Linked DNA regions of Macaca mulatta. The protein of the gene in region 2 interacts with the protein of the main gene of each other region in a biochemical or structural test. Links are inferred from orthologs where the notes say so. Each region holds a gene or a part of one and is shown on either strand. Other genes may lie near its edges.

Region 1 (4,567 bases), on a different chromosome or scaffold from region 2:
TCCAGGGCCTTCCTTTTTCACGTCCTCTCTTTAGAGATCTCAAGAGAACAGCCAACCTTTCCTGAAACCAGAACCTCTTGCCTGTGCCAGATCCATAAGCCTATAGGGAAAGGATTGGAAATGGGAAAACTGGAGGTAGACTCAGATTAGCATGAAAAGGCAGGATTAACATTTCCTTTCCACAGGGCTTCGTGTGGAGGGGCTGAATGACTTCCCATGACCCTCAAGTGAGTCTCTGCCTGGGGGACTGGACCCTTGCCTTAAGTCCCCAGCCCTCGCTCCAACTCCCAGACCCCATCTCTCCTGCAGGGAAGACTGAACACTCACCTTGACTCCCGGACCCCATCTCACCTGCAGGGAGGACTGGGCCCTCGTCCCCCGACTCTCAGACCCCATCTCTCCTGCAGGCAGGACTGCACCCTTGCCCCGATTCCCAGACCCCATCCTTGCCACTTCCTCACCTGCTGGTGCTCAACCTTGCAGTGCTCCTCCATGTTTTTCCTGGAGACAGGCTCCTCACACTCCGGGCACAAGACCAGGAACCGCAGGCAGTGAGCCTCATGGAGGGCGAAGTGGGCAGAGGCTACGTGTCTTTTGCTACAGGGTCAAGGTGGGGGGATGGGAAAGCAGACTTATTTTCAAATTATAAAACATGGAGCTGTATTTCATACCCAGGGCTAGATCTCCAGAGGCCTTAAGCACTGAACATGTGATGATGATGACCTCCTGCCCCACACTCCCTGTGTGGGTCCAAAACCAGAACAGTGGGGCAGCATCGAATAAGAATAAGGACGTTCTGCAGAGCTCTTACATTGCTGGGGCGGGGCATGGGAAGGAGCAGGAGGGAGGAATTACCAAGGGGCACGGGGGAGGTTTGGGGGTGATGGTGTTTCATGGATGTGTATAACATAGGCCAACACTTACCAATTATTACCCTTTAAAATGTGCAGTTTATTTGTAGGTCAATTATACCTCTATAAGGCTGTTTTTAAAATGAAACATTTCACTTTAAATAATGTAAACAATTAAATTATTTCAATTTAAACAATTCGAGAGAAGTGCCAAATTCTCTTGAATCTTTTTTTCTTGTTTTCTGGTGCCCCTGTTTGGTCCACAGTGTTAGGAACACAGCCCTGCTAGGCTCATGCTTCCTGCCAGGGCCATGTCAACTTCCAGAATCTCCAAAGCGAGAGCTTCCCGTCTCTCCTGCCTCCAGGTTCACCTGCGCTAACTCACAGAGACTCCGAGGTTCTTCCCAGAGACCACAATGCAGGAAGGGTTCTGAGCCTCCCACTTCCTGGGCAGGGCGTTTTTCTCCAACCATCCTCTTCACCAAGAAGCGCCCCCTTTCGGCTGGGCGCCGTGGCTCACGCCTGTAATCCCAGCACTTTGGGAGGCCAAGGCGGGTGGATGACCTGAGGTTGGGAATCCAAGACCAGCCTGACCAACATGGAGAAATCCCATCTCTACTAAAAATACAAAATTAGCCAAGTGTGGTGGCTCACGCCTGTAATCCCAGCACTTTGGGAAACCGAGGCGGGTGGATCACCTGAGGTCAGGAGTTAGAGACCAGCCTGGCCAACATGGTGAAACCTCATCTCTACTAAAAAAATACAAAATTAGCCGGACGTGGTGGCGCACGCCTGTAATTCCAGCTACTCGGGAGGCCGAGGCAGGAGAATCACTTGAACCCGGGAAGTGGAGGTTGCAGTGAGCTGAGATCGCACCATTGCACTCCAGCCAGGGCAAAAGGAAGCGAAACTCCATCTTAAAAAAAAAAAAAACAAAAAAAAACGAAGAAAGAAATAAATGACCCTTTTCACTTCCATCAACTCTTGCTCGTGGCAGTTCGGGAGAAGGGAAATGGGGAGCAAGGCTGCCCTAGCAGGGCTGCGTTCCTAACACTGTGGACCAAAGAGGGGCACCAGAAAACAAGAAAAAAGATTCAAGAGAAGTTGGCACTTCTCTCGAATTGTTGAAATTGAAATAATTTAATTATTTACATTATTTAAAGTGAAATGTTTCATTTTAAAAACAGCCTTATAGAAGTATATTTGACCTACAGATAAACTGCGGTAGCCATAAAGGCCCAGAGGACGAGAACAGTTGCATGCCCATGTCCCTGGCACATGGGGCGTGCCCCGAGAGGGACCGTCAAAGCCTCACTCCTCTTGATGTGAACAAGCTCTTTGCTTCTGCTCTGCCCAGGCAGCGGGCACACAGGCGGCAGCATTTTCCCTTCCTCTGTTCTCTCTCCTCTGCCTGGCCTGGTCCCTTCTCCCCCTGCTCCTCCTAGGCTGGTTGAGAAACCAGAGTAGTTGAAGGGTCTGGCTGGAGCAAAGCTCTCCGGGGAGGGTCCCACTCAAGTCCCTGCCACAGGTAGGGAGCTCTGAGAATGGGGCTTTTCCACGGGTCAGATTCCGCCCCCGCCCCCGCCCCGCCCCGTTAGAGGTGTGGTCCCAGCCCCCTGCTCTGTCCTCCCTGCTCTGCCCCACGGCTCCCTTTCAAGGAGGGTGAGAGTAGTCCTGGAGAATCTCCGTGGGACCCTTTCTTTCACAGACTGGTGTGAAGGTCAGAGTATCAGAACCCCAGATTAGGACCCAAGGTCTCACAAGTATGAGTAGCCCAGCTGGGACCACTGGCCGGGCTATTTGTCTTCAGAACAGTCCCAGGAAGCCTAAAATTTGGGGGGAAGGGGCTGCAGTGAAGTGGAGGTAATGCTGTCCACCCTCGCCCAGAGATTATCACGTTTAGACCCTCCTACCCTCGGGGCCCACGGTCTCCAGCTGCTTGTCCTCCTAAGTGTTTTTATGCCGGAACTACTTTCTCCTCCCTTCAGAAACAGCCCTATCTCCTCGGCGTTTCTCCCTCACCAGCCGGGGTCTGCTGCTGGAGAAAGCGCTTTCTTACCAGTTCTTGCACACCGAGAAGGCTCCTTCCATGTTCTGCTCTCTGGAGTCTTTCAGTTGAGTTTCGTTTCTTGCAGGCAAGGAAACAAAACTGAAAGTCTTCCGACGGCCCAGCCCACAGCTTCAGGGAGGGAGGAGATCCTACCCTCAGAATTCTCGGCTCAGGATTCCCCGTTGATTCCTGTGGCTGGACCCTCCCAGGAAGCCCCTCTACAGCATGGCCAGCACCTGCTGCCGCTCTCTGCGGTCATTCTTTGCTGCTATCACAGGGAGCCTGAGGCCAGGCTTCTCCTGGGCAGCAGCTTGTTCGCTTACCCTGGCTGACTGGCTTCGCTCTGTCTGGGTCTCCATCCCTTTTCCAAACCATCCACCTCCCACCCTTCTCCCCGATCTCCGGCTCCCTTCTGCTCCTCCCTCTGCAGGAAAGAGGGAACTTGCCGTGTTGAGCTTGAATGCTGTTCCCTAAAAATGGCTCCTGGACTTGAGGCGGTGAGGACTTCGCAAACAGCGTCCAGGGAGGCTCTGGGGATGCAGGGTAGTGTGAGCCCAGACCCAATCTGGTGTGTATCCTCCCCGGGGCCCTTAAGAGTTTTTGCAGATACTAGAAACAGCTGTGCTTACAGAAGGACTCTAAACAACGTCTGGAGTGATGACAAGCAGGCCCAGAGAATTCCCGAGGAGTCTGCCAGTGGGGTGGGTGCCGCCTCTCTGAGGAGGGTAACAAAATTAAGGGAAATGTCCAGGCAGGGCTCCAGCTTCCAGGCAGGCTCTAAAACTCAGGCACTAAATGAGAAGCAGTGCGTGGTGGTACTGATGATCACAGCGATAGGAGGGAAGCATGAAGGACTGCTTCGGCATCGTCTAGGTTCCAGGCACCGTTCTAAGCATTAGGTAGGCATTGTCTTCGTTTTAATCCCTCAGGTAAGCATGGTTGATTCCATTTTCCTGTGGAAAACAGAGGCAGTGACAGAGTGAGACTCTGCCTCAAGAAAGAAAAATGAAAAGAAAAAAAGAGAAAATGGAGGCAGAGAGAGACTAGGTCAATCACTCAACATCAGAGCTGGGATTCACACCAGGTTGATCTTATTCAGGTGTCTATGTACCTAATCAAGACCCCGTCCACCTCATTTGACAGCTGGTTGGGGTAGGGAGCACTTAACCAAGAGTCAGAGACTGAGGTTTGCATCTTATCTTGTTCCCTTCCTCACTGGCTAGGCAAGCTCCTTAATCCTTCTGACCCTCACTGCCCATTCCTGTCTGTCTCTGGGCAGTCTGTGAATATTAAGAATGAAAAATAAGCAGGTCGGGCGCAGTGACTCATGCCTATAATCCCAGCACTTTGGGAGGCTGAGGTGGGTGGATCGCGAGGTCAGGAGACCAGCCTGACCAACATGGTGAAACCCCGTCTCTACTAAAAATACAAAAATTAGCCGGGTGTGGTAGTGTGTGCCTATAACCCCAGCTACTCAGGAGGCTGAGGCAGGAGAATCGCTTGAACCCAGGAAGTGGAGGTTGCAGTGAGCCGAGATTGCACTACTGCACTCCAGCCTGCACAACAGAACGAGACTCTGTCAAAAGAAAGAAAGAGGGAGGGAGGGAGGGAGGGAGGAAGGAAGGAAGGAAGGAAGGAAGGAAGGAAGGAAGGAAGGAAGGAAGGA
Region 2 (3,808 bases):
CAGGAAAACACTCTTGTTCTTAAGACATATACACTACTGTATCAGGGTGCAAACTATTCAGGGTGCAAAAAAGTCATGGTATCTGTAGCTTATTCCCAAGTGGTCAGCAAAAAGTGTGTATTATAGAGCATGGTTAAGCAAATATGGTAAAATGTTAACAATCTGTGAATCTAGGTGTAGGGCACACAGGAGTTCATTTTACTAATCCCATCATTTTTCTCCAAGCTTGATCCTTTCCCATAATAGAGTTTAAGAGGAAAAAAAAAAAAAGGTTACTCTTACCACAGATTTGGTATCCGTGCTATGGAATAATTTGCAGTGTTCCACAAGTCCTTCCTGATCAAAGTTCTTCTCAGGACAGTAAGGACAAGGAAAGGTATAACGGTTTGGAACATTCCTGGAAGGTGAAAGACAGGAAAAAAGAAAATTTTTCTGTGAGTACCTTTCCATTCAACTTCAACCACAGTACACTCCCAAAAGGAGCAAAGCTCACCGAATGTGTAACGACAAGGACGCTGATGATCACTTTAGACTCAGATCAAGTGTTTTGAAGACAATAGCTCAGCTAGCCGGACATGGTGATTCACACCTGTAATCCCAATAGGCCAAGGCAGGAGGATCACCTGAGGTCAGGAGTTCAAGACTAGCCTGGCCAACATGGCGAAACCCTGTCTCTACTAAAAAATATAAAATTTAGTCAGGATTACTGGCAGGTGCCTGTAATCCCAGTTACTCGGGAGACTGAGGCAGGAGAATCTCTTGAACCCGGGAGGCAGAGGTTGCAGTGAGCTGAGATTGCGCGACTGCACTCCAGCCCAGACAACAGAGCGAGACTCCATCTCAAAAAAGAAAAAAAGAATAGCTCAGCTAACATCTGAAGTGAACACCAGAGTCCTCCCTTGCATACTCCTCCCAAAATACTTGTATCAGCTTTAGCCAGCATAACAATTCATACAACTAAACCCCTGACCATGCAAGGTGTCCAACCTCTTTGTATTAATAGCAAGAGATGACCTCCACCTAAGGGGAGACTGAGTCATTTACCTTGGCTGAAGAGATGCATCCTTAATGGTGGCCTTCACACCTTCCATGATGTAATTCTGGTATTTGGAACAAGTAGCCACATGGGACCGGATCTTGGATAGGAAGAACTCAAATAGGAAGAATCAGAGCCCACAAGTTAGTGAGGACCTTGTAACAGGCCAAATGTAGTCCCAAACAAGGGCGCAAAGAAAACTAGACCTACACCACCCTGGCAAATAATCTCACCAGACTCCTGACTATGCTGATGGGGCTGAAACCCTGATTATTGCAGATTTCCCATTAATAACAAGGCTGCTATTTTATTTGACTAAATCAGGATATCCGCTTCCACTCTAAAATAACTCTTCTAGAGGTTTGCTCCTATTCATGACAGGCTGTGTGCTCACAGACAAGTTCCAAATCTAGGATGTTGTTAAAAGTTTTCTATACTAGCATTTAAACTAGTCTCCTTATAGCAAGCCAAAAACCACATTCTGTTATGTGCAGCAGAGAAAAGTGATCATTTAGGTAAAACGTATAAAAGCCACCAACCCTGATTAAAGTATCAATCACCAGACTCTGAGAAATAATCTTTAAAATCTAAATTTTTTTTTTTTTGAGATGGAGTCTCACTTACTCTGTTGTCCAGACTGAAGTGCAGTGGCACCATCTTGGCTCACTGCAACCTCCGCCTCCCGGGTTCAAGTGATTCTCCCACCTCAGCCTCCTGAGTAGCTGGGGTTACAGGCGTGTGCCATCATGCCCAGCTAATTTCCATATTTTTAGTAGAGATGGAGTTTCACCATGTTAGCCAGGATGGTCTCGAACTCCTGACCTCAAGTGATATGCCTGCCTTGGCCTCCCAAAGTGCTGGGCTAACAGGTGTGAGCTACCATGCCTAGCCCAACCTTTCACATAAAATCTAGGCTGTGCAATAGTAAAATAGAAAGAGAAGAAAACCCAGAGAATAATGCTTCATTACAGGTTTTCTAAAAAGAAAGAAAGTTTTAAGAATTGAAGAAAAGAGGGAGGAAAGAAAAACATTTTTAGAGGCATGCCAACCATACAATAACTGATCTTGAAAATGGAGAAAAGCAAAAGCACACAGTAAAACAAACAAAAAGCTCATCATGGGTGGAGCGTGGTGGCTCACACCTGTAATCCTGAGGGAGGCTGAGGTGGACCATCACTTTGCACTCCCAAGTTTCAGATCAGCATGGGCAACATGAAAACTCTGTCTCTACTAAAAATACAAAAAAAATTAGGTGGGCGTGGTGACACATGCCTGTGGTGCCAGCTACTTGAGAAGCTGAGGTGGGAGGATGGTTTGAGCCAGGGAGGCAGAGGTTGCAGTGAGCCGAGACCACACCATTGCACTCCAGCCCGGGCAACAAAGCCAGACTCCGTCTCAAAAAACAAAACAAAACAAAACAAAACAAAACCAAAAACCACATTATGCATGCATAAATAAAGATGAAGAGACCGGGTGCAGTGGCTGACACCTGTAATCCCAGCACTTTGGGAGGCCGAGGTGGGCGGATCACAAGGTCAGGAGATCGAGACCATCCTGGCTAACACGGTGAAACCCTGCCTCTACTAAAAATACAAAACAAAACAAAACGAGATATATACATATATATGTATACATATATATATCCGCGCGTGGTGGCAGGCACCTGTAGTCCCAGCTACTCCAGAGGCTGAGGCAGGAGAATGGTGTGAACCCAACAGGCGGAGTTTGCAGTGAGCCGAGATCATGCCACTGCACTCCAGCCTGGGCGATAGAGTGAGACTCCGTCTCAAAAAAAAAAAAAAAAAAAAAAAAAAAAGGCAGTAGGAAACTGTAATTCAGTATCTTGAGTTTCTAAAAGTAAACTTCAAAGGGGGAAAAATGCTCCAAGATTGGAGCTCCAGCTTACCATGATGATTGTCTCACCTCCAGCTAAAGAACTTGACTTTAAGCTACAAACTGAGGAATCCCCAATTTTTTTTTTTGTAGAAACTGGGTCCACTATATTCCCCAGGCTGCTCTCAAACTCCCGGGCTCAAGCAATCTTCCCACCTCAGCCTCCCAAGGAGCTGGGACTACATGCAGACACCACTACACACAGCTAGTTTTGTTTGTTGGCTTGTTTTGGTATATACAGTGTCCCACTATGCTGCCCAGACTGATTTCGAACTCCTGGGCTCAAGTGATTCTCTTACCTTGGCCTCTCCAAGTGATAGGATTACGGGCATAAGCCACCATGCCCAGCCTCAATAGTGAAGCCCCCAATTAAGATATAGAAAATAGCCCTATTCAGCATTAAAATGGTCCTACTATGCATCGCTAATACTAAATCACCCTGAAAAGGAGATGGTAAGGTATATTCATACTATGGGCATCCATACCGAAGTGTTAAAAAATAATGAAACTGACATGCAAGGCTGTCCAATATGTAAGAGAAAAAAAAAACTGAAAGTGAAAAAAAAGTTGGGAATGAATGTACATTTAAACAAGTGAAAAAAGTTGAAGAAACATATATATTATAGTGTGATCTCATTTTGCAAAAATTCTACAACTGGGTTGGTAAACATTCTACAGTTTTTACCAACTTTTGGTAAAAATTTGTCAAAGGGCAGAAAATGTTATGTAGCTTTCGAAACTGAATCACTTTTTTTTTCTTGAGACAAAAAAAAGTCCAGCTCTATCGCCCAGGTTGGAGTGCAGTGGTGAGAACTCAGCTCACTGCAATGTCTGCCCCCTGGGCTCAAGCCATCCTCTCACCTGAGCCTCCCGAATAGC

What was found.
Region 1: the proteins of RNF114 (region 2) and XAF1 form a complex in vitro, tested with the Homo sapiens proteins (2 studies listed by BioGRID). The link is inferred for Macaca mulatta from reciprocal best matches to the Homo sapiens genes RNF114 and XAF1.

Annotation. Positions count from the first base shown.
Region 1 is NC_133421.1:8,229,509-8,234,075, reverse strand, and holds the start of XAF1 (XIAP-associated factor 1), read right to left. Parts: upstream 2,943-4,567; coding exon 2,911-2,942; exon of another isoform or gene 2,484-2,910; intron 598-2,483; coding exon 462-597; intron 1-461. UniProt on the Homo sapiens protein: Seems to function as a negative regulator of members of the IAP (inhibitor of apoptosis protein) family. Inhibits anti-caspase activity of BIRC4. Induces cleavage and inactivation of BIRC4 independent of caspase activation.
Region 2 is NC_133415.1:102,783,058-102,786,865, reverse strand, and holds part of RNF114 (E3 ubiquitin-protein ligase RNF114), read right to left. Parts: intron 1,152-3,808; coding exon 1,045-1,151; intron 398-1,044; coding exon 283-397; intron 1-282. UniProt on the Homo sapiens protein: E3 ubiquitin-protein ligase that promotes the ubiquitination of various substrates. In turn, participates in the regulation of many biological processes including cell cycle, apoptosis, osteoclastogenesis as well as innate or adaptive immunity.